Linked DNA regions of Lonchura striata. The protein of the gene in region 2 binds, or shares a complex with, the protein of the main gene of each other region. Links are inferred from orthologs where the notes say so. Each region holds a gene or a part of one and is shown on either strand. Other genes may lie near its edges.

Region 1 (7,625 bases), on a different chromosome or scaffold from region 2:
GGGACAGGGACCAGCATTGGCACCGGCACCGGGACCGGATCAGAACCGGCACCGGGACCGGATCAGAACCGGCACCGGGACCGGATCAGAACCGGCGCCGGGACCGGATCAGAACCGGCGCCGGGACCGGATCAGAACCGGCACCGGGACCGGATCAGAACCGGCACCGGGATGGAATCAGACCTGGGACTGGAACCAGGATCAGAACCTGCACCAGGAAGGGGTTAGGATCGGGACTAGGATTGGGATCAGAACCGGGACTGGGCCGGGATCAGAACCGGGACTGGGACCAGGACTGGGATAGGGCTTGGGATCAGAACCGGGATCAGAACCGGGATCAGAACCGGGATCTGAACCAGGACTGGGATAGGGCTTGGGATCAGAACCGGGGCTGGGCCGGGATCAGAACCGGGATCTGAACCAGGACTGGGACAGGGATTGGGATCAGAACCGGGACCAGAACCGTGATCAGAACCGGGACTGGGACTGGGATAGGGATTGGGATCAGAACCGGGATCAGAACCGGGATCTGAACCGGGACTGGGACCAGGACAGGGATTGGGATCAGAACCGGGACTGGGCCGGGATTAAAACCGGGATCTGAACCGGGACTGGGACAGGGATCCGAACTGGGACTGGGATAGGGATTGGGATCAGAACCGGGACCAGAACCGGGATCAGAACCGGGACTGGGACTGGGACAGGGATTGGGACCAGAACCGGGACCAGAACCGGGATCAGAACCGGGACTGGGACTGGGATAGGGATTGGGATCAGAACCGGGACTGGGACTGGGACAGGGATTGGGACCAGAACCGGGACCAGAACCGGGATCAGAACTGGGACTGGGACTGGGATAGGGATTGGGATCAGAACCGGGACCAGAACCGGGATCAGAACCGGGACTGGGACTGGGATAGGGATTGGGATCAGAACCGGGATCAGAACCGGAACTGGGATGGGATTGGGACTGTGGCCGGGACTGGGACCAGGACCGGGACCGGGATTAGGACCAGAATTGGGACTGGGACCCCGCCGGTACCGGATCCCCATCCCGGTACCGGATCCCCATCTTGGCAGTACCAGATCCCCATCCCGGTACCAGATACCCATCCCAGCCGGTACCGGGTCCCCATCCCAGTACTGGATCCCCATCCCAGCCGGTACCAGATCCCCATCCCAGCCGGTACCGGGTCCCCATCCCAGTACCGGATCCCCATCCCAGCCGGTACCGGGTCCTCCTCCCCACCGGTACCGGGTCCCCATCCCAGCCGGTACCGGGTCCCCATCCCAGCCGGTACCGGGTCCCCATCCCAGCCGGTACCGGGTCCTCCTCCCCACCGGTACCGGGTCCTCCTCCCCACCGGTACCGGGTCCTCCTCCCAGCCGGTACCGGGGGTTTCCATCCCCACCGAGTCCCTCCCGCCGCTACCGGGAGCTCCATCCTGGAGCCTCCATCCCCCGCCGGTACCGGCACCTCCATCCCCGCCCGAACCGGGTCCAACCCCGCCGGTACCGGCACCTCCATCCCCCGCCCGAACCGGGTCCAACCCCGCCGGTACCGGCACCTCCATCCCCGCCCGAACCGGGTCCAACCCCGCCGGTACCGGGCCCAAACCCCAAACCTCCATCCCCTCCCGGTGCCGGTACCGGGGATTTCCATCCCCTCCCAGCACCGGTACCAAACCCCCATCCCCTCCCGGTACCGAACCCCCATCCCCTGCCGGTGCCGGTACCGAACCCCCATCCCCTGCCGGTGCCGGTACCGAACCCCCATCTCCTTCCGGTACTGGTACCGAACCCCCATCCCCTGCCGGTACCGAACCCCCATCCCCTGCCGGTGCCGAACCCCCATCCCCTCCCGGTGCCGGTACCGAACCCCCATCTCCTTCCGGTACTGGTACCGAACCCCCATCCCCTGCCGGTGCCGAACCCCCATCCCCTCCCGGTGCCGGTAGCGGAGCCTCCATCCCCTCCCATCACCGTTACCGGAGCCCCATCCCCTCCCGGTCCCGTTACCGGAGCCCCATCTCCTCCCGGTACCGAACCCCCATCTCCTCCCGGTACCGAACCCCCATCTCCTCCCGTTGCCAGTACCGGAGCCTCCATCCCCTGCCGGTGCCGGTACCGGAGCCCCCATCTCCTCCCGGTGCCGGTACTGGTGGTCACCCATTCCCTCCAATCACCGTTACCGGAGCCCCCATCCCCTCCGGGTGCCGGTACCGGGAGTCTCCATCCCCTGCCAGTGCCGGTACCGGGAGTCTCCATCCCCTGCCGGTGCCGGTACGGGATCCTTCATCCCCTGCCGGTGCCGGTACGGGATCCTCCATCTCCTCCCGGTGCCGATACCGGAGCCCCCATCCTCTCCCGTTGCCAGTACCGGAGCCTCCATCCCCTCCCGGTACCGAGCCTCCATCCCCTCCCGGTACCGAGCCCCCATCCCCTCCCGGTACCGAACCCCCATCCCCTGCCGGTGCCGGTACCGAGCCCCCATCCCCTCCCAGCCCCGGTACCAGGGCTCCCATCCCCTGCCGGTACCGGTACGGGATCCTCCATCCCCTGCCGGTGCCGGTACCGAGCCCCCATCCCCTGCCGGTACCGAGCCCCCATCCCCTGCCGGTACCGAGCCCCCATCCCCTCCCGTTGCCAGTACCGGAGCCTCCATCCCCTCCCGTTGCCAGTACCGGAGCCTCCATCCCCTGCCGGTGCCGGTACCGGAGCCCCCATCCCCTCCCGGTACCGAGCCCCCATCCCCTCCCAGCCCCGGTACCGGGGGTCCCACCCCGCCCCCGCCGCCGCCGTGCCGGTGCGGGCTGGGGGTGGGGGGGGCCCAGCCCGGTGCCGGGGCGGTGCCGGGGCGGCGCCGGGCGGCGGTGCCGGTGCCGGGGCGGTGCCGGTGCCGGTGCCGGTGCCCCGGAGCCGCGCTCACCATTTGAGGGGCTTGTGCAGAGCCGTGGCCATTTTGCGCCGCCGGGGCCGCTCCGCGCTCGGGGAGGGGGCGGCGGGGCTCGGCCCCCCCTCCCCTCCCCCGCTGCCCCCCCGGGGCCGCCGCCGAGCCCGCGGGACCCCCGCCCGCCCCGCCCCTCCCCCCCCGCCCCGCGCTGCCGGTGCCCGCCGGTACCGGGCGGGGGGGAGGGGAGGGGGGCAATGGCGGCGGGGCGGCGGGACTACAACTCCCGGCGTGCCCCGCGCGCCGCTGGTTGGCTGGGGGAGCTGTCAATCACCGCAAAGGGGCGGGGCTAAGGGCGGGGCTCCCTCCTGTCAGTGCTAAGGGGGGGAGGGGGGGCAGGGAGCCCCAAAATCGCCCAAAATTCCATCAAAATCCTCCAAATCCTCCCCAAAATCCATCCAAATCCCCCCAAAATCCATCCAAATCCCCCCAAAATCCATCCAAATCCCCCAAATCCTCCCCAAAATCCATCCAAATCCCCCCAAAATCCATCAAAATCCCTCAAATCCTCCCCAAAATCCACCCCAAATTCCCCAAATTCTCACCAAAATCCCCCCAAAATCCCCAAAATCCTCCCCAAAAATCCATCAAAATCCCCCAAGTCCTCCCCAGAAATCCCAAAATCCCTCAAAATCGCACCAAAATCCACCCCAAATCCTCCCAAAGCCCGCGGAATCCACCCCAAATCCTCCCCAAAAATCCCAAAATCCCCCAAATCCTCCCCAAAATCCCCCAAAATCCCCTGGAAATATCCCCAAAATCCACTCAAAATCCCCCAAATCCGCCAAAATCCCCCAAATTCTCCAAATTTCCCCCAAAAATCTCCCCAAATCCTCTCAGAGACTCCCGAAAAACCCCAAATCCCCCCAAAATCCCCCCAAATTTCCCCAAAAAATCCCCAAAAATCCCCCCAAATCCCCCAAAATCTCCCAAATTACCCCAAAATCCCCCCAAACCCCCCCAAAATCCCCCCAAAATCTCCCCAAAATCCCCCCAAAATCCCCTCAAAATCCCCCCAAATCACCCCAAAAATGCCCCAAAAAGCTGAAAACGTAAATTTTTTATTTCACATTTTTCACACTTCGGTTCTGGGGGAAATCCCCAAAATTCCCGGGAGTTTTGGGGAGTTTTTGGGATTTTTTTGGGGGGGGGGTTCCCCAATTTTTCCCCCCTCCCCAAAATTCCCTCCCCCCCTCCCCAAATTTAGTGCAAATAAATAAAAAGTGGAAAATGAGGAAAAAATGGGAAAAAATGGGAAAAAAGACCCCCCCAATTTGGGGGGATGGAGAAAAAATTGGGGGAGGGGCGACCACCACACCCCCCAAAAAAAATTTGGGGGAATCCCCAAAAAAAAAAAAAAGCAAAAAAGGGGGAAAAAGGAAAAAAAAGGCCAAAAAAGGGGAAAAATAAAGGGGAAAAAAAGGAAAAAAAAGAAAAAATAATGGAAAAAAAAGGGGGGGGAAGGGAAAGAAATGGTAAAAAAAGGCAAAAAAAGGGGGATAAAAAGGGGGAAAAAAGGGAAAAAAAGGGAAAAAACTGAAAAAAAAGGAAAAAACACCACAAAAAATGGGCGGAAAAAAAGGGGGGAAAAGGGGGAAAAAAGGCAAAAAAAAGGGGGAAAAAAGGAAAAAAACCCTGCAAAAAATCGGGAAAAAAAAAGGGGGGAAAAAGGGGGAAGAAAAAGGAAAAAAAGGGAAAAAAGACAAAAAAGGGAAAAAAAAGGTAAAAAAAAGGGGGGGAAGAAAAAGGCGAGAAAAGTAAAAAAAGGAAAAAAATAAAGGAAAGAAAAGCAAAAAAAAGGCAAAAAAAGGCAAAAAACCGGAAAAAAATTAAGGGAAAAAAAGGGACAAAAAAAGGCAAAAAAAGGTTAAAAAATGGAAAAAAAAAAAAAGGGAATAAAGGAAAAAAAATTAAGGAAAAAAAAGGGACAAAAAAAAGGCAAAAAAAAGGCAAAAAAAGGTTAAAAAAAGGGAAAAAAAAGGGGGGAAAAAGGGGGGAAAAAAGGCAAAAAATGGGAAAAAAAGGGCAAAAAAAAAGGTAAGAAAAAGGAAAAAAAGGGGGTAAAAAGGCAAAAAAAGGAAAAAATTAAGGAAAAAAATTAAGAAAAAAAAGGAAAAAAAAGGGGAAAGAAAAGGGGGAAAAAGGTAAAAAATGCCAAAAAAAAGGCAAAAAAAGGGGGAAAAAAAGTAAAAAAATGAAAAAAAAGGCAAAAAAAGGGGAAAAAAGGTAAAAAAAAGGCAAAAAAAGGCAAAAAAAAAGTTATAAAACTGGGGGAGGTCCCCAAATTTTGGGCACCCCCCCAAAAACCGCATGAAAAATCGGGGACCCCCCAAAAGAATTTGGGGACCCCCCCCAGAGCCCGAGGGGGTTTTGGGGGATTTTTGTTTTTGCCCAAAAGCCGCGGATTTGGACCCAAAATTTGGGGTTTGGGGACCCCCCCCCCAAAATTGCGGCGGGTCTGGCAGAGGCACCTGGTCCTGGAAGGGAAGGAAAGGGTTAAATCTGGGGGAAATTGGGAAATTTGGGGGGTAAATTTTGGGGGGAATTTGGGGGATTTTGGGAAATTTTGGGGTTAAGTTTTGGGGGAAATTTGGAGGATTTTGGGGTTAAATTTTGGGGGAAATTCGGGGGATTTGGGGAAAATTTGGAGGTAAATTTTGGGGGAAATTCAGGGTATTTTTGGGAAATTTTGGGGTTAAATTTCGGGGAAATTTGGGGGATTTTGGGAAATTTTGGGGTTGAATTTGGGGGAAATTTGGGGGATTTTGGGAAATTTTGGGGTTGAATTTGGGGGAAATTTGGAGGATTTTGGGGTTAAATTTTGGTGGAAATTCGGGGGATTTGGGGAAAATCTGGGGGTTAATTTTGGGGGAAATTTTGGGGATTTTGGGAAATTTGGGGGGTAAATTTTAGGGGAAATTCGGGTGATTTTGGGAAATTTTGGGGTTGAATTTGGGGGAAATTTGGAGGATTTTGGGGTTAAATTTTGGTGGAAATTCAGGGGATTTGGGGAAAATTTGGGGGTAAATTTTGGGGGAAATTCAGGGGATTTTTGGGAAATTTTGGGGTTAAATTTTGGGGGAATGCGGGATATTTTGGGGAATTTTGGGGAAATTCAGGGGATTTTGGGAAAATTTGGGGGTAAATTTTGGGGGAAATTTGGGGGGTAAATTTTAGGGGAAATTCGGGGGATTTTGGGAAATTTTGGGGTTAAATTTGGGGGAAATTCGAGGGATTTTGGGGTTAAATTTTGGGGGAGATTTGGGGAATTTGGGGGATTTTAGGGTTAAAGTTTGGGGGAGATTTGGGGGATTTTGGGGTTAAATTTTGGGTATTTTGGAGGATTTTGGGGTTAAATTTGGGGGAATTTTGGGGTTAAATTTTGGGGATTTTGGGATATTTTGAGGTTAACTTTTGGGGGAATTTGGGGGATTTAAGGAGTTAAATTTGGGGAGATTTGGGGGATTTCGGGGGAAATTTGGGGGATTTTGGGGGACTTAAGGGGTTAAATTTGGGGGATTTTGGGAAATTTTGGGGTTAAATTTTGGGGGAATTTGGGGTTAGTTTTTGGGGGAAATTTGGGGGATTTGGGATTAATTTTGGGGTTAAATTTTGGGGAAATTTGGGGAAATTGGGATTAATTTTGGGGTTAAATTTTGGGGGATTTGGGGTTAATTTAGGGGTTAAATTTTGGGGGAATTTCTGGGATTTTGGGGTTAAATTTTGGGGATTTAGGGGTTAGTTTGGGGGGGAAATTTGGGGGATTTGGGGTTAATTTTGGGGTTAAATTTTGGGGATTTTGGGGTTAAATTTGGGGATATCTGAGGAATTTTAGGGGTTAAATTTGGAGGATTTTGGGGAATTTGGGGGTAAAATTTTGGGGGAATTAGGGGGATTTTGGGATATTTTAGGATTCAATTTTGGGGGAAATTTTGGGGATGTGGGGTTAATTTTGGGGTTAAGTTTTGGGGGATTTTGGTGGTAAATTTGGGGATTTTGGGGGATTTTTGGGGTGTTTTGGACTTAAATTTGGGGTATATTGTGGGACTTAAGGGGTTAAATTTGGGGGATTTTGGGGTTAAATTTTGGGGGAATTTGGGGGATTTAAGGAGTTAAATTTGGGGAATTTTAGGGTTAAATTTTGGGGATATTTTCGGGGTATCTCACCTGGATTTTTGGGATATTTTTGGGGTGTCTCACCTGGATTTTTTGGGATATTTTTGGGGTGCCTCACCTGGATTTTTGGGATTTTTTGGGGGATCTCAGGTGGGATTTTTGGGATATTTTTGGGGGATCTCACCTGGATTTTTGGGATATTTTCGGGGTGTCTCACCTGGATTTTTGGGATATTTTTGGGGTGTCTCACCTGGATTTTTGGGATATTTCTGGGGGGGTCTCACCTGGATTTTTGGGATATTTTTGGGGTGCCTCACCTGGATTTTGGGGATTTTTTGGGGGATCTCAGCTGGGATTTTTGGGATATTTTTGGGGTGCCTCACCTGGATTTTTGGGATATTTTCGGGGTGCCTCACCTGGATTTTGGGGATTTTTTGGGGTCTCAGCAGCCGCAGCTCTGCCGGGTGGGGGCCGGAGCCCCCCGGGGCTGCCGGAGCTGCCGGAGCGACGCGTCCCCGTACTGGATCCCCGACCCCATCCGCTCGGGATCCAGCTCCCC
Region 2 (7,497 bases):
TTCCTACTTAGAGTTTGAAACAAGAATCAGTACATTTGTTCTGACCTTCAGGAAGTGAGAGGAAAAGCCAAAGTGAGAATTCAAGAGCTCCTGGCTCCTAGAAGCCTCAAGGATTCCCACCTCCCAAGTTATAAATAACACACAAACCCCACCTGCTGAAACACCAACCCACTTTTTAGAGGAAACACAGCAAAAAGCAGCTCACCTCTACTAGGTGATTGTCAGGGCCATACAGGTCTTTATCAAGTTCAATGACCAGAGATTTAAAGAAGGACGAAAATTTCCTTTTCTGCTTGGTGGCATCATATTTGGACAGAGCAGACTGCAAGCAACACAGGGAGGAAGAGGGTTAGGGCAGCAAGTCTCAGCACTCAAGCACAGCCACCGTGCACAACAGCTCCTCTAAGTTCTGAACACCTGAATTCACCAACGTGTGCTCAAAAATCAAGTTTCCAAGTCAGAAAGGGAAAGACTGGAGTTAAAGATGAGCTCGCAGGAGTTAAACCCCTCAGCAGTTACGTACAATGCCAGTGCCCTGGTTCTCAGAGCCGGGGACACAAGTGCCACTGAGCTGCTCTCACCAGTGATTCTCACAACTCTAAGAACTTTGGACAATTCATGTCCTGCCATGGGGACACCCATCGGTCTCCAAGCTGGGCTCTCGGTCTCGTCACCATCAGACTCCTTGGGAAACAGAGATGAAGGAGGATATCAAGCCCCAGCTGTGCTCTCAGACACTGGGAAACTGGTTTCATTGCCAACTCCACATCCACAGTGTCCTCTGAGGATGGGCACTTCCCACTTACATCCTCCAACAGCCGTCCTTCCACCCGAAGCTCCCAGGAGGCGACGGTTCCTTCGCCGTCCTCCGCGTCCGACTTGGCGGGGTTGAAGGTGTTGGAGATAAAAATACGCAGCTTTCGCTTTTGCTAGGAGAAAAAGCATCAGCTCAGCGTCAATCCTCCTGCACAGGGCCAGCTGTCCTGCACAGGCTTTGCTACAACCGAGCTCAGTGTTTTCAGCTGCCTCGCATTCTCCCTCTCCTGGAGCACACAGCGAGGACCCACTCTGGTCCCACTCTGTCACCCTGATTTTTAAAAGTGTTTTCTTTTATAGATATTTTGAAAGTTTTAAAGTTCTCATAGAACTTCTTTAACCTTCTGATAATGTTTACAGATTTCTACTGGAGTTCTCACACGTTGTCCATGTAAATAATGATTGTTTTGCATTCTCCTTTGTGGGAAGAGAGAATTGATGGACTGCTGGTTTGACCAGTGTGGTTGGAGAGGTGGCAATTTCATCCTCCAATCCACTGTCACTTTTAGAATTCTATTTATTATGAGGTCAGAAATAAAATTAGCTCTTTTTCTCTTTTAAACTTACCAAGCTTCTGTGTACTCGCGTCCAATAGCGACACCAGTCCCTGGCTGTGTCCAGAGCACTGGGACCTCTGATATGCCACACTCAGAGGACACAACCCTTCAGTGCCCTCCTGCTGCCTGAACTCAGGAGCTTCCAAAGCCTGGAGACAACCCAGACTCCCCTTACCTTGATGGGACGTTTCAGAGCCTCCTGGATGTCCAGGCGCTTCCTCATGATGGTCTGGTCCAGCTTCCTCTCGAAGGCCAGCAGGTCCATGTAGGCCTGGGATTCGGGCACGAGCTCACGGATCTGTGGCCAAGCAAGGATGGAAATGCCCACCAGCTCCCCAGGCTGCCTCACCTCCCCCCGAGCCCCTCCCCGTACCCCACTCACCCGCTGTGGGAGGATTTTATCTGCCATCTTCTTCTTCTTGGCACTGACAGGGGCAAGAGACAAAAGAGGCGTGAAAATGGGAATGGCTCTGGGCACAGGAGCTCAAAGACCTGCAGCACCGAGTGGCCAGGGGCTCCCCAGTTAGCTGGGCCCTGCTCCAGTGGGGCTAACTGGTTATCTCAATGTTCCCCACCCTTCTGAGCACAGGAACAGGAATTACATCTATTAAAAACAGGCTGCCTCTGTTGGAAAGAAGGTTCACCCCTTGGGAAGGAGGACTTGACACAACATCCACACCAAGTGACCTCCAGCCTCAATCAACTTTGGATTGCCTTTTCCAGGGACAGCATTTTAAATCCAGGACAAATTTCATTCTCACTGGGCCATCACATCAGGATGCAGGCATGTGACATAAACTCAGCCCTGCCCTGCCCAGCGTTGTCCTCCAGTCCCAGGGGAATGCACAAGGACCTGACAGGACCCTTCAGCACTGCAGGAGGACCAAGAACTCCAAAATCCTTGAGATTGGAAAAGACCCATTCCAGACCCTTGACTCCAAGCTGTACCCGATCCCCACCTTGTCACCAACCCAGAGCACTCAGTGCCACGTCCATCATTCTTTGGAAACCTCCAGGGATGGGAACTCCACCACCTTCCTGGGCAGCCCCCTCCAAAGCCTGGCCATTTCCATGAAGAAATTCCTCCCGATCCCCACGACAGCCCAGGGGATGTTGCTGCTGCTGCCCCGAGATACTCCCATTGTCCGGGATGTCCCCAGGAGCCGGAGATGTCCCCGATAGCCCCGGGATGCGCCCTCTCCCGTGCCTTACTTGTGGTTGCGGTTGGGCACCGCCTGCGGCTGCACCTGCTGAAGCTGCTGCGGCGCAGGCCGCTTGCGAGCCTGGTCCAGCCCGGCCTGCGCCAGCGCGGGCCGCACCGCTGGGCTCCCTCCGTACCCGGGAGGCCCCATGGCCGGGCCCTGCGGCGCCAGGCGGCCGCCCGGCAGCATCCCGGGGCGCTGCGGAGAGAACAGACTCGGTCAGCGCCCGCCGCGCCCGGCGCCGCGCCCCGCCCCGCGCCGCCCCGCCTCACCGGGTAGGCGGCTCCGGGCAACGGCGAGCGGTACAGGCCCTGCCCCGGCGCCGGGCCCATGCGCACCGCCCCGCCCGGCGCTCCGGGGCCCAGCGCGGCCCCGGGCGCGGCCCCAGCGCCGCCGCCGCTCGCAGGCCCCGACTGGAACCCGGCCCGCGCCGCCATCTTGTCTCGCACAAAGGGAGCGGAACCGGAAGCGGCCGCGCGCGGCGCGCGGAGCGCCGGGGAGGAGCCGCCCGCGGCCGCCGCCCGCAGCGCCCCCTGCCGGGGGAGGACCGAGCGGCGGCGATTGGGGGGGCGATTCGGGGCCGTGAGGGACTGGGGGTGCGGGAAGGGAATGGGGACAGTGAGGGGTGGGACTGGGGGTGAGGAAAGGGAATGGGGACAGTGAGGGGTGGGACTGGGGGTGAGGAAAGGGAATGGGGACAGTGAGGGGTGGGACTGGGGGTGAGGGAAGGGAATGGGGACAGTGAGGGGTGGGACTGGGGGTGAGGAAAGGGAATGGGGACAGTGAGGGGTGGGACTGGGGGTGAGGAAAGGGAATGGGGACAGTGAGGGGTGGGACTGGGGGTGAGGGAAGGGAATGGGGACAGTGAGGGGTGGGACTGGGGGGTGCAGGATGATCCCAAACACTGGGAAGGCTCGGGGGTGTCAGCCTCCACTCCCCAGCTGTGATTACAGCCCCTGTTCCCTGGTGCTGGAGCCTCCCTTGCTCCGGGATGTGCTCGGAGGGAGGTGGATGTGCCTTTCCCAGGCATGGAGGGCCCCGATGTGCAGGTGTGGCAGTGACACCCCTCACCTGAGCTCCCCCCTGTTACATTCAGGAGGAATTTCTCCATGGAAAGGGTGGTGAGGGGCTGTCCTGAGAGATGGGGGAGTCACCATCCCTGGAGATGTCCAGGGAAAAGCTGGACGTGGAACTCAGTTGGGATCAGTCACAGTTTGGACTTGGTGATCTTTTCCAACCTCAGGGATTCTTAGGGATGAAGTTTATGGGGAAAACAAATGGCCACAAATGGGTCCAGTTTGTGCAGGTTCAGGCAGAGCACCAGGAAAAAGATTCCTGTCTCCCCTGGGGTTGGAGTTAAAGGCCACTTTCTGCAAGTATTAACATTAAGTTCCTTTTCCCTGAAGCGGTTTCTTGTGCCCAGAGAGAAAAGGGACACAAATCCAGTCAGCATTAATCCGTGGAAAAAGCCAAGTGTGCAATCACACCACGAGTATTAATTAAACAATTAATGATGATCATCTGATGAGTGCTGCCTCCAGCCTGGAGGTCCCAGCCCAGGGAGGATGTGGAGCTGCTGGAGCGAGTCAGGAGGAGGCACCAGGATGATCCGAGGGATGGAGCAGCTCTGCTGTGAGGAAAGACTGGGAGAATTGGGATTGTTCATTCTGGACAGGCTCTGGGGTGACCTCATTGTGCCCTTCCTCCTTTCTCCTGTCCGGAGGGGTTTGGTGGAACAGCTTTGGAAATGCCTCCCCTGCACCTGCTGGTGGCTCCATGGAAACTTTGGCAGCAGCCGGGGCTGTGGCATTGTCCCTCGGTGCCTGCTGTCACCAGCAGCCAGCGAGGGGAGACGGGGAATTCTGACCTGCGACAGGAGGTGGTGCAATCTCGGGATCTCCACAGAGCCTGAGTGGGCTGGGTGTCTCCATGGGCTGAGTCTCCGTGGATCCTGAACGGGCTGAAGGTCCCCAGAACTCCCTAGATCTCCAGAGGCTCCCTAAATCCTGGTCAGGGTGAGGCTGCCTGTATCTCAAACAACTTCAGATCCTGAACAGACTGAGGGTCTCCAGATCCCAAACAGCCTGAAGCCCCGCATCCCCACGGGGCTGATGTCCCCAGCCCACTCCTGCTGTCCCCCGATGCTCCAATGGACACGATGGAGTCTTGTGCCTGCAAAGAGCAGCTTCTGCACGTCCCATCCCGGTGGTACCTGCTGCATCCCACGGGAATTGCAGGGCTGTGCTGCCCCTGGGGCTCAGACAGCTCCCGGAGAGCCGCTCTGTGACAGATGGACGGGGTGACCTGCTCCCGGCGCAGCCGAGGGATTACAGCCCCCGGAGCCGGGGGGATATCCAGCCCCCGGAGCCGGGGTATTACAGCCCCCAGAGCCGGGGGGACTACAGCCCGCGGAGCCGGGGGACTACAGCCCCCGGAGCCGGGGTATTACAGCCCCCGGAGCCGGGGGTATTACAGCCCCCGGAGCCGGGGGGACTACAGCCCCCGGAGCCGGGCGGATTACAGCCCCCGGAGCCGGAGGATTACAGCCCCCGGAGCCGGGGGTATTACAGCCCCCGGAGCCGGGGGACTACAGCCCCCGGAGCCGGGGGACTACAGCCCCCGGAGCTGGGGGATTACAGCCCCCGGAGCCGGGGGGATTACAGCCCCCAGAGCCGGGGGGATTACAGCCCCCGGAGCCGGGGGGATTACAGCCCGCGGAGCCGGGGGACTACAGCCCGCGGAGCCGGGGGGATTACAGCCCGCGGAGCCGGGGGACTACAGCCCGCGGAGCCGGGGGACTACAGCCCCCGGAGCCGGGGGGATTACAGCCCGCGGAGCTGGGGGGATTGCAGCCCCCAGAGCCGGAGGATTACAGCCCCCGGAGCCGGGGGACTACAGCCCGCGGAGCCGGGGGTATTACAGCCCCCGGAGCCGGGGGATTACAGCCCCCGGAGCCGGGGGGATATCCAGCCCCCGGAGCCGGGGGGATTACAGCCCCCGGAGCTGGGGGACTACAGGCCCTGGAGCCGGGGGGATTGCAGCCCCTAGAGCCGGGGGGACTACAGCTCCCGGAGCCGGGGGGATATCCAGCCCCCGGAGCCGGGGGGATTACAGCCCCCGGAGCCGGGGGGATATCCAGCCCCCGGAGCCGGGGGGATATCCAGCCCCCGGAGCCGGGGATGCCGCGGGGAGGGAGCGGGCACGGCTCGGCTGCGATTATCGGGGTCATTAACGCCCTCCTGGCCCGTCCGTTCTCCTTCCAATCCCACCCCCTGCCCTTTGCTCCTCCAGCTCTGGCCGGGAAGCGCCAGAGCGGGGTGAGACTGTTCTCGTTGAGATGCAAAACTGCATTTCTGCCATTTCCAGGAGCCAGGGGACACGGTCGGAGCCAAGGGACCGGGGGAGGAGGGTGTGCGTTGGCATTTCAGCGTTCCCTGCCCACTCCCACTCCCTATTATTCCATCTCCATGGAGTCCTGAGGGCTTTTTCTGGATGCCCTCTGTTGGATCTGCTCTGTTGTTACTACTGCTCTTTGTAGCTGGAAATTTTTAGGACAAAAGGTGTGTGTGTTTATATTTGGGTTGTGCTCCCAGGATGAAATTCCACCTGGTGACTCCTGTGGGTCCCAAACCACGGAGCTGTCAGGGATTAACAGCTCTGTGAGTGTTAATTCTCCTTTCCCTGCTCAGGAAGAGGAATCATTTCCCTCCTCCAGCCCTGTGTTCCTTGGGAAGGCAGCGAGGCTGGAGCTCGATGAGGCACCAGGAGCTCCCAGGAAAGGGAGGCTCAGCCCAGCCTCAGCTCTGCCCCTGCTCCTGAAGTCTGGCCCGAAGCTTTTTCCTCCCCTTCCCTTTCCCTGGGCTCCAGGAGCATCCCGGGATGAGGCTGTCCCCACCTGCCTCCTCGGGGGAGCATTTCCAGCAGCTCAGCAAGAGAGAAAGGCTTGGCATGGGGGAGTTATATCATTTATATCATTCTTTATATCATCGTTGTTAAGAGTAGCAGGTATTGATGTACAATGCATCTGTCATCTTATTGTGCTTCCTATGAAAATGTGTGTACATAGTACAGATACCGGAGAGAATTCCACACTTTATACACTTGAAGGCATTCAGAGATCAGTAACAGAAAAAAAAAAAAAAATGGCACAAGAACAAGGCCTAAATGCTACTGGATGGGTATCTACAGTGGCATGATGCATATAGATATATATATATATATGTACACATATATATATAGTCATATATATTATATATAAGAAATATAAAATGCCGATGACATAATAACAAAAAAGAGTTTTCTTCAACAGGTGAGCCTCAAGGTCAAATCCCAGCCCCATCTTTAAAAGCTTGAATGGGAAAGATAAAGAAAGAAAATAAATAAATGAAACATGATGAAACATTAGGAGAAATCCATAAGAAAATTTATGGATGTGGCCGAGCCGTCGTCTTTGGGTGATTGCTGGATACAAAGGAATGACCCCCAGTTCCTAATTTTGGTCAGGAAGCAAATAATAAGAATTAAAATGACAAGAATAAAAACCAAAACTGCCGTTTAGAAAAAAAAAAAAAATTACTAAAAAGACTTATTGCAAAAGCTCTTAAAGATAAGTAGCACTTTGGGCCCGGGGAGGGCTCTGGCCTGGGGGCTGGGGGGGCCCAACGGGGACCCCGGAGGGGACTGGTGGGCACTGACAGGCCCAGGGGGCAGTGACCTGGTGGCCACGGACCCCAGCCAGGGCAGGGCTGTGCCAGGGAGGGGCAGCACGGCGCTGGGAACCCACAGACACCCCAAACCCCCCGGGCCAGGGCTGCCGGGGCTCAGCGGGGCTGGAGCCGTGGCCCCAGGGCCCCCCTGAACCCCGGGGGTGTTGGGGCTCTGCTGCCTTCCCCGCCACGGCGGTGCCAGGGGGGCATCCCCGG
Region 3 (7,780 bases), on a different chromosome or scaffold from region 2:
ATGACATAAGCCACTGTTTTACTACAGTTTTTTGTATTACCATAACAACAGGCTTTGAATATGTTGAACTACAGCTCTTCAATAAAACCAGGTGACAATTGTAATCGCCGTCTGCTTATTTCTTTATTTCTGCAAGACAGGATTTAAATGTTACCAGGAACTACCTTACATCAGGGAGAACTGCACGGAGAAATTTTATTTCAGGTACAGTACTGCAGTTTTGAGAATTACTGAGATTTTGTTGACTGCAGCACCTGGAACTGGCTGTGGAAGAACAAGCAAGGTTATTTGGCTACTTTGTGACAGAGCAGAGACCAACACATGAAGGACTGTATAAAATATAATACAAAATAAAAGATGCTTGTAAAACAGGCAATGCAGGTCACTGGTTGCAGTCCTGGCATGTGCTTCATGTATCCTTCTGAAGAACTGTACCACATCAACATGAACCATTAAACATCTGTATTCATGCTATATCCCAAAGGAATCACATGTGTATGCACAGCTCTCGATGCAGGAATCCAGTGGTCAGAGGGGATCCATCATGGTCCTTCTAACACTGCCACAGATCTATTTTGCTGTGTGTAAAATGAAAACTCTGAGCAAACTATGAAAATCCAGTTTTATTTATATAAACTTATAAAAACATAACTTGTATTTATGTACTATATAATTTTCGAACCTCTTCCTGTAAAATATGGCACAAAAAATTTGAAGGATCACATTCCTTCTAACTCCCATCCTGCAGAGATCAAGGACACACTACTGGGTCACAGTCTTCCAATTCACTTTGGTAAAAAAAAAAAATCACTGTAGAATCTTTCCTCAACCTTCTGTACAAAGGATTTCTCCTAAAACTCAAACTACCCACAAATGTGACCAAAGATGTGCATTTATTTTCAAACAGTTCCTGCCCATGGTACACTGCTACTGCAGCACCTTTGTACATCCAGGAATGTCACTGGGCGGGATACAAAGCTCCTGTTCATGTTTTCCTCAGTGTCAGGGCATGCCACTTTACTAGAAAGTAAAATATTTCCCATGCCCTAGACTCCAAAATACCAGTGATTTCAAGGAATGCAAGACTGGCATCAGGAGTGTTTCATTATTCTGATCCAATACAACAGGATGCTTCATAATCCTGCATTCCACTCAATTGGAAAAAAAAAAAAAAGCAGCTCAGTACAACTGAACTGTGGAAAAATGCACTGTCTGCCCATGATCTGGGCACAGGCTGAGTAGGACATTTTACAATCAAATGTACCAGTTGATTCTTAACTATTCCAGTACTGCTGCAACCCACTGTGAGTCACTTGAGAGAAGTAATGCTCACAGAAAATTCAGTCTGTAAGATCCAGCCTTAGAGGCAAAACAAGTTTATTCGGCTTCTCTTTCCCAAACTTCTCAAAAATAATTATATTAATTTAAACAATTCATAGCACATTAATATCGTGTTTCCCATATTGGAAGGTGATGCAACTCCCTAATTATTGTTCTGGGAAGTTACTAAAGGCCTTGTGTTAATGAGAAAAATCACTATACTTACGGTTGCAGGAGCTGGGGTGGGAGGTGGGGCATAGGATGGCCTTTCTGTTAAGACAGAAATGTAAGCACATTTTTTTTTTCCCCTTGAAAATCTAAACGAATTCTTAAGGCATCTGCTATGGCCAATATTTTCAAATGATTTTACAAAACAAGCAAATTTTACTCTGAAAGACTTTGCCTTTTGCCACTGAACAGCAAAAAGCAACACTAGAAAAAGAAAGAAAAATTGAAATGCTCCTATTACTCTAGTCCCAGACTTTTGTTCAAGCACAAGACTGAAGAATATGAAATTCATTTATATGCACATCAATTACATGGAGGGAAAGCAAAAATACAGTCCAATAGGACTCAGAAGCTGTGATATCTGGATTTCCTACAAAAACAATATGCCAGGAATTGGCCACAGAAGGATTTAAGGCCAAGAGTTTAGTTACTACACTTGCTAATTTCTTTTAATGCCAGGAATAATGGCACCATCTCACAAACAGGTTCCACGGAAACAGATCTGTAAAACATCAAAGCTAAAGAAAGAAAAATCTTAAAAAAAAAAAACTTACTTGACATTTTGATAGTCAAATTTTCAGCCACCTGACATTATATTTGTACTTCTGCAAGACAAAAGAACAACATGCTAATAAGTGTTGTGCCTTTCCCCCCACCAGTTATTTGAAGCTTCGATTGTTATTGATACCAGTGATTATAAAAGTTCGTCAATTTTGGAATACAGACAAAAGCATTCTCAGAAACCAAGTTGTTATCTCTTTGAAAAATTAATGGATTTTCCAAGGAATCTAAAAAGCTGTGTAAGAGCACACAGCTTTAGGTCACCTTCATATTAAAGGGTCTAAATGAATATATTTTTTGCTGTAAGGAATAAAAAGAACATATCCCATTATTTTACACTCACTGATTCAGAAATCTGATATCGATATGTAAATGACCAAATTATGTATTTCCTTTACAGAGTACATACAACAACCACCGAGCCCCGCAGCTGCGGTCTGACAGGCAATTCTTAACCTTTTAGCACCGAACCCGGGAGCCCGTCAAACAGCGCTGTAACGAAGTGCCTTTTCGCCGTTTCTCTCCAAATCACGCCACGGGCAGCTGCAACCTCCTCCAGAATCCCTACTAACGACGTGCACCGGGCTCGCACGTAGGGCTGGCTTGGGAGATCCAGCAGAGCCTCTGCGGGCCCAAGGCGGCCACCGGCGGGGTCCCTCGGTCCCACCACTCCCTCCCCGGGCTCAATGGTCTTCCCGAGCCCCGCAGCGCTGCCGGAGAGGGGCCGGGGCCGTCCCGAGCCCCCCGGCCGGCCCCGCCGGGCCCCTCGGACTCACCCGCTCGGCGCGGCCGCGCTCCCTTTGTTCCCACGGGCCGGGGCGGCGGCGACGGCGCCTGCGCACTCCGCTCCGCACTTTCGACACGCGGGCCCCGGCCCGCCGGTGATCCCCTACTCACTATGGGGGGCCCTCTTCGGCTGCCCCGCGCCCCACCGAGGAACCAGGGCCGTCCCCGCACCCTCCGGGATAGCGGCGATTCCAGGGGCCGCGGCGAATCTGCGGGATGCAACCCGAGCGCCGCGCGCGGGGCGGCACCGCCCGCCATTAGCGGCACGGAGGCGCTGCCTCGCGGGGTGTCACAAGGGCTCCCGAGGCGCCCTAGAGACGCAGTGCTCGTCCCCTTCCCCCGCGCCGGCAACCCCGGTCACGGTGCCCCGAGTGCTGGCTGCCGGTGGCGAATCTGCAGCGCAGAACGGGCGCGCAGGGACGGCCTGCGGACGCTTCGTGCCCGCTGCGCTTTAGAGCCTTTTCCCCCTCACGGGCTGCGCGCGGCCCCTGAGGCGATTTTGGCGCCTTTTCCCCTCACGGGCTGCGCGCGGCCCCTGAGGCGATTTTGGCGCCTTTTCCCCTCACGGGCTGCGCGCGGCCCCCGAGGAGATTCCCCCTCACGGACAGGTACCTGAAATGTCCTGGACCCTGGGCTGCCCTGAGTCCACGGAAAACGCTGCGGGGTCATGTCCGAGCCCGAATAATATCCAATAAAAGCAGCGATGGAGTCAGGTGAACCGTCCGTGGTCTGTGCAGAGTGTGGTGCCGAAAGGGCTGTTTGGGATGCTTCCAGAGGCGGCTGAGTGGAGCAGGATGAGCCCTGAGGGCAGCGGGAAGGTGCCGGTGTGGGAGAATGTCAGTGGAAGGGACGTTAGAGACGGCTGTGAAGGCAGCGAGATGGCCCCGGGTAATAAATATGATAATATGTGATAATTGTCAACTAAATCAGCCTGACCAACTCAAAACACTCTGCTGCTGAATCAGACAGGATTATAAAGTACCCAGTAGTCTGGGAGCAGTGGAATTGTCCACAATTCCTTGCAGAAATCAGCGAAGTTATCACACATAGGTAAAACCCCCACAAATACCAAACAAGGTGAAGCATATGGCTCTGAGGGTGTGAGGAGGATGAAGAGTTCCAGACCTCAGCATTCAGCTTTAAGAGTCTTTTACACTGAAAATAGTCAAAAGTGACTGAATTAAATATGAAAACTTTGGCAGTGAAACTTGAAATTGAAAGTTTGATGTTGAATGTTTGAGGTTGAAATGGAATGTTTGGCATTGAAATGGTCTCACGTGGCCAATAAGATGTATTTCTAGACATTCATGAGGGAGAATTTGGGTGGATCCGAAGGAAAGCCAAAGGAGATGGTACCTGCCTAACCCAAAAGGATGATAGAAGGTGAAAAGAAGAAAAACTAACTGAACATGACTTGCTGCAAGTTGGGGCCATTTTTCTTGATGCCTGCCAGTTCCACTGGCTCAATTTGTTTTTATGCTTAAATACACTTATTTTTATGAACAAATAAAGAGACAAGAGCTCTGCCCTCATCTGCTTAGATTCTGCTGACTGTACCCACAATGGACATTTGTTGCCATATAGCAGAATAATCTGTGACTTCAATTTGATATTAAAGCAAGAGTTGAAAAGGTTCCTCAGCCAACGAAATACAACACATTAATTCACCATCTTAACTGGGGCAGGAAAAGGTAAAGAAAAGGTGAGAAAATACATGTAAGAGGTGAAAGATAACCTGGTTTTCCTCCTGCTTTTGACTAGGTTCACCCTAGTTTCATACATTCACTTCTAGTTTACTAATAACATAGTTTTGTTGATAGTGTAAATTGCATTTAATGTTAAATTAAAAATTGAAAATTTGCAATTTCTATTAATTATTTTAACTTTTGCTTTAATTTTAAAGCAAAATTTTAAAATTTGAATTATTTAAAATGTGTTTATTTTTAAAACGGAATTGTTTATTGTGGTGTTCAAGTACATTTGTGGAAACTGACATTCCATACTAATAGTTCTAAATCATTATATTTTCAAAGCCATCAGTGTATTTCCTACTTTGTTTTATTCCCCCTTTTTTCTTCCTATGCTCTTTGCCTCAGTTCCATCATGTGATAGTGAAAGGTTTTACCAGCGTACACTTTTTAATATCCTGTACAATATATAAGTAGTTTTACTGATTTAATGGAATTGTTTACACTGCACTATGCTCACCAGCGGGGAATGTAAAAACTAATTCTTACCCAACAGTTTTAATTACCAGCAATTTCACAAGCTTTGGAATGAGGACAGACATTCACTGGGAAGTAGATTGAGACAATAAAACTCGTTTTTACATCAGCCGTTTGCAGGTGCTAGTTGGCAGAGGCTCAGCTGGTCTGGATTTAATTAGAACCACAGAAATTAAGACTTCTCTGCCACAGTATTAAGCTTCAGTGTTAATTTTTTTTTTTTAAATTCCACTTTAAAGTGACCTAAAAATGAGGGTGAGATGTTATTATTTTGATGCCTATGTGGAGTTCACGCTGATACTTGTGGAAGCCAACTACTTTGTGAACAAAAGAGAGTTCTTTACATTTGGAGAGATGGAATTTGTGAATAATGCAAAAATAGATAATTACTGAAAGATGTGAAAACTTAGTTAAAACCAAAATGCCCACTTGAACCAGGCCTAAAGTAGGAGAAGCTACTGAAGTCAGTGTTAGGAAGTCACACATGAGGAAAATAGCCAGGGTGACTGGATTTGCCAGGAAAAAAGAGTAAGTTTTGTAGCAGAAGGACACTCACATGTTATGGTAAAGATTCTGAGGGAATTTGTGTCTTTCTAATTGTGGAGAGGATCAGAGAAAACACTTGTTACAGTGCTACAGATTTTCCTATCTGCAACTTTTATTTTGCATTTTTCTTTTACTTTCCACTTAAGGAGAAGACATTGACACACACAAAATAGGCATAGAGAAACTCCATTTTAATACTTTTTTTTTTATTGTAGTACTATCATTTACTTTGGTAAATTTGTATCCCTGTTTAAAGTGCCTTAAAGCAATTAAAACTTAGTTTAAATTCAAGTATTGTAAAATGTACAGAGTCTAAGCACAAAAAAAAAAGCTGCATAGTGAAAATACTGGAGCAGGCTGATACATTCAGGATGCCAAGTACTCAAGTGGTAATAACATCAGCTCATGATTCAGGTTAAGGATAATTAGCGAGTTTGATACAGTACAGACAGGATGGGGCAATATTGATGCATTGTTCTTACCATGAACAAAGGATAGAAGCATAGATTAACTCTGAAAGGATCTGCAGTATCACTTTTGTGCACATGCCATAAGTAATAAGGCAGATACTGACACTGAAATCAATCCTTTACGTGCTGTTGTAATCCAGCAAATCCTCTGTGTGGATTCTCCAGACTCTGAGCCCCAGCAATCCCGGTGCTCCAGTGGGAGCAGTGACATCCATCCTCTTCAGAATCCTCACAAATAATCATTGTTGTCTTCATACAATCTTGTTTGAGTCTTTGTTTGAAATTTGTCCTGTAAGGTTTTAAAGAAGGATGGCTGTTCCTCTGTGTACCGGTGCAGGGTTTCTGTTGGGGTTTGTGTTTGCCCACAGCCACTTTGGGTAGGAGTGGGGAGTACTTAAGGGGTCTGGTTGAATTGTACTTTGAATTTGTAGCCCTTATTTTGCCCAGTCAATTTGAAGTAGTAACAGTTGTACCCTGGTGTAACAGTGACTTGTCACATGGACAAAATCAACAGTATCACTTATCGGTAGTGTTTGTCAGAAGAGAAATTTGTTGAAGATATTTTAATGCACATTGTTATAATAAAAAAAAATGGAATAGCAGTATTCAAATGATCGTTTCATTCCTCCCATTTGAACAATAAGAGAATAATTTCATTTGCCTTGGCTAAGAGACTTGTAGTACAGATGTGTGTGGACACATAAGAAAATGATTGATTTTTCAGGGGAAATTACTGCTTCAAAATCAGTTGAGCAATATGGCTAAAATGTTACTGGATTGTAACAACACTTTTAAAATGGATGTATAGGGATGTAGAGGTAAGATATTTTTGCTCAGTTGTTGCCTGAAAAAAAGGAATTTAAAAATACTAGCCACTTTTAAAAGAAAACTCTTTGTTAATAGTTCATGTATTTTAAGAGTATTTTCATATGTAATTTTTGCTGTTAGAAAGTATTATTTTAAAATATATTTCTAGAAGTATGACAGCTGTGATATAAATTATTGCAAGTATTCACCAGTCATTATATGAATGGAATATTGAATAATTAAGAGAAGCAAATAGGCATTTCTCATTTTTGGAAAGAGAAAACAAGTTCTCTTTTACAAAGGCAGAATATGTCAAACTATAAAGTTCTAGTTTAATTTTTGTAACACTTGGTGAAAATCTACAAAACAACAACAATGAGAATATGAAAGGGCTGCACCCAGAGTATAAAAGCAGTAGAAGTTTGGGTTTCTTGGAATCAGAACCCCCTTGCTGTTCACCCTTTCTTTTGAAGGACTTAAATGGTTTTATTGTATCGATCCAAATGCTTGGTAAGATGTGTGGTTGTAGCAGACAGCAGCCGTGGGAGTCCATCTGCAGTTTATTTCCGGAGCCCATTGTGGATGCACTTTGAGGGAATTGGCTGAGGTTAAGGTTTGATGGATGGGATGCTGCAGGATCTCCTCATCACCAGCCTGACTTCAATGTCGGGGAGGGTTTTCTTTTTTGTGTGCAAACACCCTTCCTCTGTGGCTGCCAGGTGGAGATCGAAACGCAAGGAAACAGACTTTTTCCTTAAGCGAGGGTTGTCCTTAAAGAAAGAACCTTCCCATTCCTTAATAACTTCATCCACTTTTTCTGTCCTGAAACAATAAAGA
Region 4 (7,743 bases), on a different chromosome or scaffold from region 2:
GAACTTGCTAAACTTCAGCCCTAGCCAACAATTGCTTCAAGCTGGGTGGACAAACACCAACCTGACCACACCACCTCCTATACCTCTGGTCTAGACTTCCTTCTCTGTGCAAATTTCTCTTTTCCAAAAGTGCATGGAAAATGCTTTTGTTCCTGGGAGCTGATGAGGTGCCAAGAGCCTCTGACAACAGAATTGCAGATTACCAACATGTCCAGGTTAATACCCAAGTGTATGAATTGACTCATGCTGCTTCTGAGCCAGTGAACCCCTTTATTATTTCCTCTGACTCCTTAAAAAAAAACAACCCACAAACATATTTTTGAGCTACACAGGAGCTATCTGGGAACAACATAGTTGGAGTAGATTTCTCTTTCCTCCTTTTGGACTCCTACAACACATGTCAGTGTCTGGTAACTGGTAGGAACAGGCCCAGGAGGGCAAAGCATGTGAGTAGACCAAAGTATCTTCCATCTTTTCCCTTTGTAGGCACTGACCTCCTGCAAGTGGCTGCCCATGAGTTTGGCCACGTGCTGGGCCTGCAGCACACGGCTGTCTCCAAGTCCCTGATGTCTCCTTTCTACATCTTCCGCTACCCCCTGAGCCTGAGCGAGGACGACAAGCAAGGTATCCAGTACCTGTATGGGAAACCCTCGGCGGACCCTGACCCAACCCCAACGCAGCCAGCGGAGCTGCCCCAGCCGGACCTCGAAACAAATGAGATCACCAACGTGGAGGTGAGTGCAGGTTCCCTTCCCTGACAGCCTGGCTGGGGCTGCCCTGGCAGCAGCCTGAGTTGGTGCCTGCCTCTCCCACCAACACCGCTGCGCCCAGCCCCAGAGCCCACGGCTGGCACTGGGCTGTGCACAGGGGGTCTCCGGGCAGCCCGTGCCCAACGCAAGCCGGGCAGCAGCCTGCACACGGGGCCTTGCCCTGAGCAGCCAGGCAGGCTCGGGGGCTCTGGGTGCCAGCCTGACGCCTGCGCCTCGGCAGGCCGTGCAGCCCGACGCCTGCCACACGGCCTTCGATGCTGCAGCCGCCATCCGAGGGGAGCTGTTCTTCTTCAGCTCCTGCTACGTGTGGCGGCTCCGCGCCGGAAAGCTGCAGGATGGCTACCCGGCCCTGGCCTCTCGCCACTGGCAGGGCATCCCCAGCTCTGTCGACGCCACCTTCGAGGACCCTCTGGGAAACATCTGGTTTTTCCAAGGTAAGAGCTGGACTGTGATCAGATGGCTCAGAAATCTCAATTACTTAAGGGTAGTGAGGACTCAGCAGGTTCCTGAGACAATAAATCTCCTGGAAATCCTCAGCAGTCCAGTGATCCTTGTCATTTGTTTCCTTAGCTATTTAAACTTTTTATCAGGTATTGAAGACAGAGAACAAGAGTTCACTTTTGTTTTAAACACGTCACAGTATCCCATTCTCCTTCTCTGGAACACAAACATTTGTAATTTGCCTCTATCCTGGCAGAGGAGAACGAAATAAACATTTGCTCCATCTCTCCAGATGTCATGGGAAGCACTGTGCCAGAAGTGAACCCCAGCAGTTCGTTGGTTGTGCCTGTGGGCCCTGCTCAGGGCGGGGACAGGATTTTCTCTGCTCCTCAGTGACCTGGATGTGGAATTTCCCTAGTACCCCATGGCTTTATGAGCCGACAAGGAACCTGGGTGCAGAGCCAGGCAACCTCCAGCAACCATAAAGATTAGGAATGAAACCACCTCCTGGCCGTCTCTGGGGTTCAAGGCCAGCAACAAACCTCATTTCAGCTCCACAGTTTTTTTTAATGCTCTTCCTAAGTGGAGGTTTAATAGGAGGGATGCAGAATGATCTGGGAACTCATTGTGGGTGTGCACACCCCGTCTGCACTCCATGAGACCAAGCACCAAAATCAGGGTACCAGTGGCTCTGCAGGCAGAGCTCCTGCATGAACACATTTCTGAGCACCTGACCTGCACACAAGGACTTAACAGTGCTAAAATTGGCAGGCTCCTACAGTGAGTTAAAATGAGATAAGGGGAAAGTATTACATGCCCTAGGCTAATTACAGAGATTCCCATTTTAATCTACTCTGGAACTCTGCTTCCAGTCTCTATATCAACTTGACAAATTCTTCCTGGTTTCTGTTCCTTTCCAGCCACATGCCCCCTTTGTGCCTGTGCATGCCCACATGATTTCCAGGTGCTGAGATTGCAGGGCAGAGACTGGTGCCTCCAGCCAAGTCCTTTGTAACTTCCACAAATAGATAAAAATGCTGCTGAAATGGACCTTCCTATCCCCCACCAACACCCACCAGGCTGGACTGAGGTGGGATGCCAATGCATTGACAGAATTTTGGACACACAACAATGGCAGCATCCCATCACACTTGGTGGTGGTTTTGCCTCTCAGGCACAGCTTCCCATGGGGGCTCTGCCAAGGCACCAGTTGCACAGTCCACTGTCAAATTATCAGAGTTTTTGACCCCTTGTTTCCCTTTTCTGTCTCCTCAATAGATTCTCAATACTGGATTTATGATGGTGAGAGACGGGTATCTGGTCCCACCCCAATCGTGGAGCTGGGCCTCCCTGCATCCCCTGTGCAGGCAGCTCTGGTGTGGGGGGCTGAGAAGAACAAGGTCTACATCTTCAGTGGAGGCAACTACTGGCGCTTCAACCCCCAGAGGCGCCAGGTGGACAACATCTACCCCCGGGCCATGGCCGACTGGCGCGGCGTCCCGCCGGAGATCGACGCCGCGTTCCAGGATGAGTTTGGTCAGTGCAGGAGCGTGGCCTGCTCTGCCTGCCAGCACTGCCCAGCTGGAAGAGCTGGGCAGATTTACACATGTGGCAGTAGTGAACACTGCCCAACCACAACACATCCCATACAGGGTAGAGGGGCAGGTCCTTCCAGCGGGTAGAGAATTGAGAAGTTGTTCCATTCCCATTCATTGCAGCAATTGATATGTAAGTGTATGATAGAGAGAAGTCAAATATCTGACCAAGGAATGGTCACAGAGTCCTGCCCACCTCTTACTGCTCCTGCCAAAGGAAGTGATGAGAAGACAACAGAAATACTCCCCACACTTCTACCCGGGGAACTGAACAAAAAACAGGCTGCTTTTGGTATTGACCAGTCCTCCCCAGTGTGCCCCTTGCTGAAAATAGTAGGGCAGTGCCACAGAAACACTGGGGACAGCCAGGGTGCTTGGGATGACAGGTGTGGCGAGTGCCTCTTTCCTCTCTAAGGATGAAGTGAAACAACTCACTGCTTCCAGAACATAAATTCCAGGGCAGTTTGCCCACAGGAACAGATGCTCTGAGCAGGTCTTCACAAGTTCCCTGTCCCTGTCCTAGAAATCCCCTGCCCTCACAGGGCTGGGTCACTACAAGCATACAGCATATTTAAACCCACCAGGAAAATAAAATTAAATCCATCCTGTTTACTGTCCAAAAAGTAAAACTAGATTTTTTATCGAAACTAAAACAGTGTGAAAGAAAAGCGACTGCCACAAGCCTGGGTTCAAGTAAAATCTCCTGCCTCTTCCAGCTCTCTTTCAGTACCGTATGTGTTGCAGAGTGACAGCTGAACAAAATGCTGGCAAAGAGCTCTGAGCCACATGAATGCTGCCTCTCCTAAACCTTCCTCTCTCACCCACAGGTTTTGCCTACTTCCTGAGAGGCCGAGATTATTGGAAGTTTGATCCAGTCCAGGTGAAAGTGCTGGAGGGCTACCCACGCCAGATCAGCCAGGACTTCTTCAGCTGCACACCCTCCTCCAACTCCTTCAGATGAGGGGGATGCTCTGTCCTCCACGCTCCCCTGTCATCTCCCTTTACCTCCAGCAGCCACAGAGAGGGTTCCCTCTGCCATTCCTGGCTTCCCACCAGGCTCAGCATCTGACACAACAGGTGTCTGTCACAAGTGACAAAGTTTGCTCCTCTCCAGTTCCAGCAGCCCCAGCTTCAGCTGCTATCAATGTAAAAGCAGCTGCCATGTTCTTTACAGGCAAGGGAGGCCACTCTCTTCTAGCAATAGCATCCCAAAAGCCACCAAGGCCAGCCTGGAATAGGATCATGCTCTCATAACTAATCAGAACCCCATCCTGTAGAACTGATCCACGGCATTTCCTATGTTTACATAACTCACTAGGGCAGCCCTTTGCTGCTGCAGACGCTGGCCAAGGAGGAATGACCCCCCAGCCCGGGGCTTTGAAGGACACCGACCCTACCTGCAGAGGAGGAGGACTGCGACGTGCGGCTGTGCCAGAGCCACTCCGCCGGGGCAGCCGAGCTGGCTGCCAGGGCCTGCCGCAGCCCGAGCCCGGCTTGACGTGTATCCCTAGCATGCGTTAGGATTTTGTACCGATCTGTACATAGACAAGGGGCTCCTCCCTCGCTCCCTCGCCGGTGCTGGGTGCCAGTGCTGGACACTGCCCCGCGCTCATCCCGCCGAGGTTCCCACCCCGGGATGCTCAGATGCACTGATCGCTCTCGAGCCGCCGTCCAGGCCCGGGCTGGCAGCGCACACCGGCCGTGCCTGCCCAGCCTCAGGCCAAACACCCGGGGCTGCCAACAGCCTCTTCCCTTCCCACCGCCCGGCCCGGCCCGGCCGCGGCGCTCCGTGTGTATTTATGTTCCGCCCCGCCACAATAAAACCCGCCTCTTTTCTACATCCGTCTCGGCTCTGTGCTGCGCCCCGCGCCCGGCCGCGCCGCCGCGCCCCGCCCGCCGCATGCGCGCAGCGGGCCCGCGCTAGGCCGCGCTCCGCCCGCCGGGCCGCGCTCCGCTCTCCGGGCGCCGCCGCCCCCGCCCGCCGCCGCGATGATGATGATGGCGCTGAGCAAGACCTTCGGGCAGAAGCCCGTCAAGTTCCAGCTGGAGGAGGACGGCGAGTTCTACATGATCGGCTCCGAGGTGCGGCCCGGGCGGGAGCCGGGCCCGGGCCGGGGCTGCGGGGCCGGGCCGGGGCTGCGGGGGGCTGCGCTCAGGGCGAGCAAGGGGCGGAGGAGAGCCCTGGCGTGGGGCGAGCGGCCCCGCGGGTCCCCTCTGCCCCGGCGGGCGCTGCCGAGGGCCTCAGCCGTGCTGGGGGATGGGACGGAGCAGTGCTCCCGTAAGGGCGGCCCCTGGGGCCCGCACGGGTAGGCGGGGAGCGGATCGTGCCCGATCGCAGCCCGAGGCCCCGCTCCCGCTCACCGGGAGTAATTCCTGTACGCAGCTGTTGAGGGGTCGGGGTTGTTTCACGTGCTGCGGGGCAGCGAACCCCCCAGCTGGGCCTCTGGGCTCGGGACCAGCACCAAAACCAGCCAGTGCAGCTCCTTCTGCCTGGTGCCCAGTCTGGGCAGCAAACAGGCGGGCAGAGGCTCAGCACCCCGTGTCTGTGCTGGCAGCTCTGTTGTCCCGTGCTGAGAGGGTGTTGAGCCTCCCTGACAAAGAGCCTTATTCAGGCAAGAAACACTGGCCCTTTAGCACCAGGGAAACAGCTGAAATCAGGAAAAAACGTTACAGCCCCCAACTTGATGCAGAAAAGGGACTGTTGGATAAGTTTCACTGCCAGCTCTGTAGGTTGAGCGGGGACTGAACACCCCTCGCTCTCGTGAAATGTAGAGTTTGAAAGCAAACTGTACCTGCAGTCAGCTGAGCTGTGAGACTGCCATACCAAGTACATGGAGAAGAAAAAGGGTTGTCTTTTTTATCTACCATTAATTTCTGTCTGTGGATGAGCACTGTAGAGTGAAAAATATAGCTAAAAACGAACATCAAAAAAGAGTTTTCTCAAACAAGGAATAAAAACCTTGTTGTGTGGCAGTCTGTCAGGGTCCTGGCAGTCTAAAAATTTGATTTCAGAGTCTAGAAATAATTGTGTTGTCAGCAAGGCCTGCTGTAGCTTTCAGCATAGGTGAGGATGTTATGCCAGGAAGAACAGAACTGCTTTACAGATGGTAAGTAAATCTGAAAGAGGACTATTGGCAGCAATCACATTTTTGATGTTCAAAGGTTTTAAAACAAAATACAAGTCCCTGGGCATTTGATGTAGTCACATAATGTCTAGATGATGAGGAGGTTCAAAGTGAAAAATAATGTGTCGGAGAGCTGGGTTTCTGGTTTAGTTTAATTCCAACTGAGCATTGCACATTGATATGGAAACTGAAGTAAAGAAGGTGTCTGTTGTTCAAAAATACATGCAAATGAACGGAGTAGTTTCCTATTATCAGTAGATGGGAGTTATTTTGGATCTAGTGAAGTAAGATTGCACCAGTGAAATAAGTGCTGATAAAAATTCTGTTTTCTATGTTGCCAGAAAAATCGTGGTGCTATTTGATGCCAGACACAGCACAAAAACCCACCAAAAGCACCCTCTTAAGAGGTCCTTGTTATCATTAAAAAGACCTGAATTTCTTCCAGCCTCTGCTGTGATTCTCCTACATGGAATACCAGGCCACGTGTCCACTTCTCTTCTTGCAGGTGGGGAACTACTTGCGCATGTTTCGGGGCTCCCTGTACAAGAGGTACCCCTCGCTCTGGAGGCGCCTGGCCACGGTGGAAGAAAGGAAGAAGATTGTGGCCTCTTCACATGGTGAGAAGATGAGTAAACATTCCCAGAAATGTTTGTCGAAAATTTTGCCTTGAACAACTGTTCCTGGTGATTCAGAAGCTCGTGCACCTTGAGGGCCGCATGAATCGCTTCAGACTGCCCCAGTGATGGAGCACCCTGCAACGGTGGCACTGGTGGCTCCTGGTTCAGGCTGGCAAGAAATAGCACCTGATCAAAAACATTCTGAAATGGAAACATCCATCATGGAATTCCTGGGATTGGCTACGTTCATCACAAAGCAAAAGCCACATCTCCAAATCAATACCATATTTCAGAAGAGATTTTTTTGTAGACTAAGAGGGGTGTCTTTGTCTCTCTCATCGAATAGGCAGCAGTGTTGCAAGGATGCCCCATTGAAGATGTGCATCTTTGCTTCTTGCAGGGTCTGGATGTTTGTGCCTGCCAGAAATTTAACTGCTTGCTACTGATGTGACTGCTACAGGGAGAATATTGGCATTGTTTTTGTTGAGGGACTAATAGCAAGCAGTTAAATTTCTTAGTGATATGATTCTTGTATGTTCTGTAGACTAAAGCATAATAAAAAGAATGGTTTGCTCTGGGCTTATGTCTCTTTCCTCCAAGTATCTTGCTGACCTCTTGCTTTCTTTTTCCCCCAACAGAAAATCAGCGGTCTCACAGTCCTCGAAGATGTAAGTCTCATCTGTGTGTTATTCTTAGCTGTGCTAGAGGAAGAATGTCCACTGTGACCTTTGGTGCTATTGCAATAATATTAATGTCTAATCCTCTTCCTCTGATCTCTGTCTGTGGTCAGCCTTATTGTACCTCCCAATCCCATGGTTAACTCTTTCTCAGAACCTTAGCAGGACTCTCCACTGCAGATGGTCTCTGTCATTCAGCAAGAGCTGTCCTGAGGCCTCTCCCCCTTCCCCAAGTCTTTAACAGCTTTTCTATCGATCCTTGCATCTCTAGTTCCGACCTTTAAGTCCACTGAGCGTTGTTTTCTGGGCCTTGTAATTATCTACAAGATGAAGCCCAAAGGACACTTGTATCTCTGTGTTAGCCCCTCCTGCAGAGACAGAGAGGGTTTGTCACTATGTAGCTTGTTAATGCTACGGTATAGGTAGCCCTTTTCTGAATTAATTATTGCCATCTTTCCTGGTAATAGATCATGGCTACACAACATTAGCCACTAGTGTGACGCTGCTAAAGGCCTCTG

The links.
Region 1: SMARCD1 (region 2) and zinc finger protein neuro-d4 share a complex: the UniProt entries of both Homo sapiens proteins name them as parts of the neuron-specific chromatin remodeling complex. The link is inferred for Lonchura striata from reciprocal best matches to the Homo sapiens genes SMARCD1 and DPF1.
Region 3: SMARCD1 (region 2) and SMARCE1 share a complex: the UniProt entries of both Homo sapiens proteins name them as parts of the BAF complex. The link is inferred for Lonchura striata from reciprocal best matches to the Homo sapiens genes SMARCD1 and SMARCE1.
Region 4: SMARCD1 (region 2) and SMARCB1 share a complex: the UniProt entries of both Homo sapiens proteins name them as parts of the BAF complex. The link is inferred for Lonchura striata from reciprocal best matches to the Homo sapiens genes SMARCD1 and SMARCB1.

What each region holds. Positions count from the first base shown.
Region 1 is NC_134633.1:4,835,306-4,842,930, forward strand, and holds the start of zinc finger protein neuro-d4, read right to left. Parts: upstream 3,002-7,625; 5' UTR 2,962-3,001; coding exon 2,930-2,961; intron 1-2,929. Other genes in the region: RAB4B (ras-related protein Rab-4B), read right to left, coding at 7,509-7,624. UniProt on the Homo sapiens protein: May have an important role in developing neurons by participating in regulation of cell survival, possibly as a neurospecific transcription factor. Belongs to the neuron-specific chromatin remodeling complex (nBAF complex).
Region 2 is NC_134629.1:8,796,766-8,804,262, reverse strand, and holds the start of SMARCD1 (SWI/SNF-related matrix-associated actin-dependent regulator of chromatin subfamily D member 1), read right to left. Parts: upstream 3,013-7,497; coding exon 2,848-3,012; intron 2,774-2,847; coding exon 2,586-2,773; intron 1,799-2,585; coding exon 1,756-1,798; intron 1,672-1,755; coding exon 1,549-1,671; intron 930-1,548; coding exon 807-929; intron 323-806; coding exon 206-322; intron 1-205. UniProt on the Homo sapiens protein: Involved in transcriptional activation and repression of select genes by chromatin remodeling (alteration of DNA-nucleosome topology).
Region 3 is NC_134627.1:6,813,412-6,821,191, reverse strand, and holds the start of SMARCE1 (SWI/SNF-related matrix-associated actin-dependent regulator of chromatin subfamily E member 1), read right to left. Parts: upstream 3,010-7,780; 5' UTR 2,886-3,009; intron 2,154-2,885; 5' UTR 2,110-2,153; coding exon 2,103-2,109; intron 1,591-2,102; coding exon 1,547-1,590; intron 1-1,546. Other genes in the region: keratin-like protein KRT222, read right to left, coding at 7,552-7,765. UniProt on the Homo sapiens protein: Involved in transcriptional activation and repression of select genes by chromatin remodeling (alteration of DNA-nucleosome topology).
Region 4 is NC_134620.1:3,455,380-3,463,122, forward strand, and holds the start of SMARCB1 (SWI/SNF-related matrix-associated actin-dependent regulator of chromatin subfamily B member 1), read left to right. Parts: upstream 1-4,728; 5' UTR 4,729-4,795; coding exon 4,796-4,888; intron 4,889-6,436; coding exon 6,437-6,548; intron 6,549-7,186; coding exon 7,187-7,216; intron 7,217-7,692; coding exon 7,693-7,743. Other genes in the region: MMP11 (stromelysin-3), read left to right, coding at 487-734, 991-1,204, 2,490-2,747, 3,634-3,767.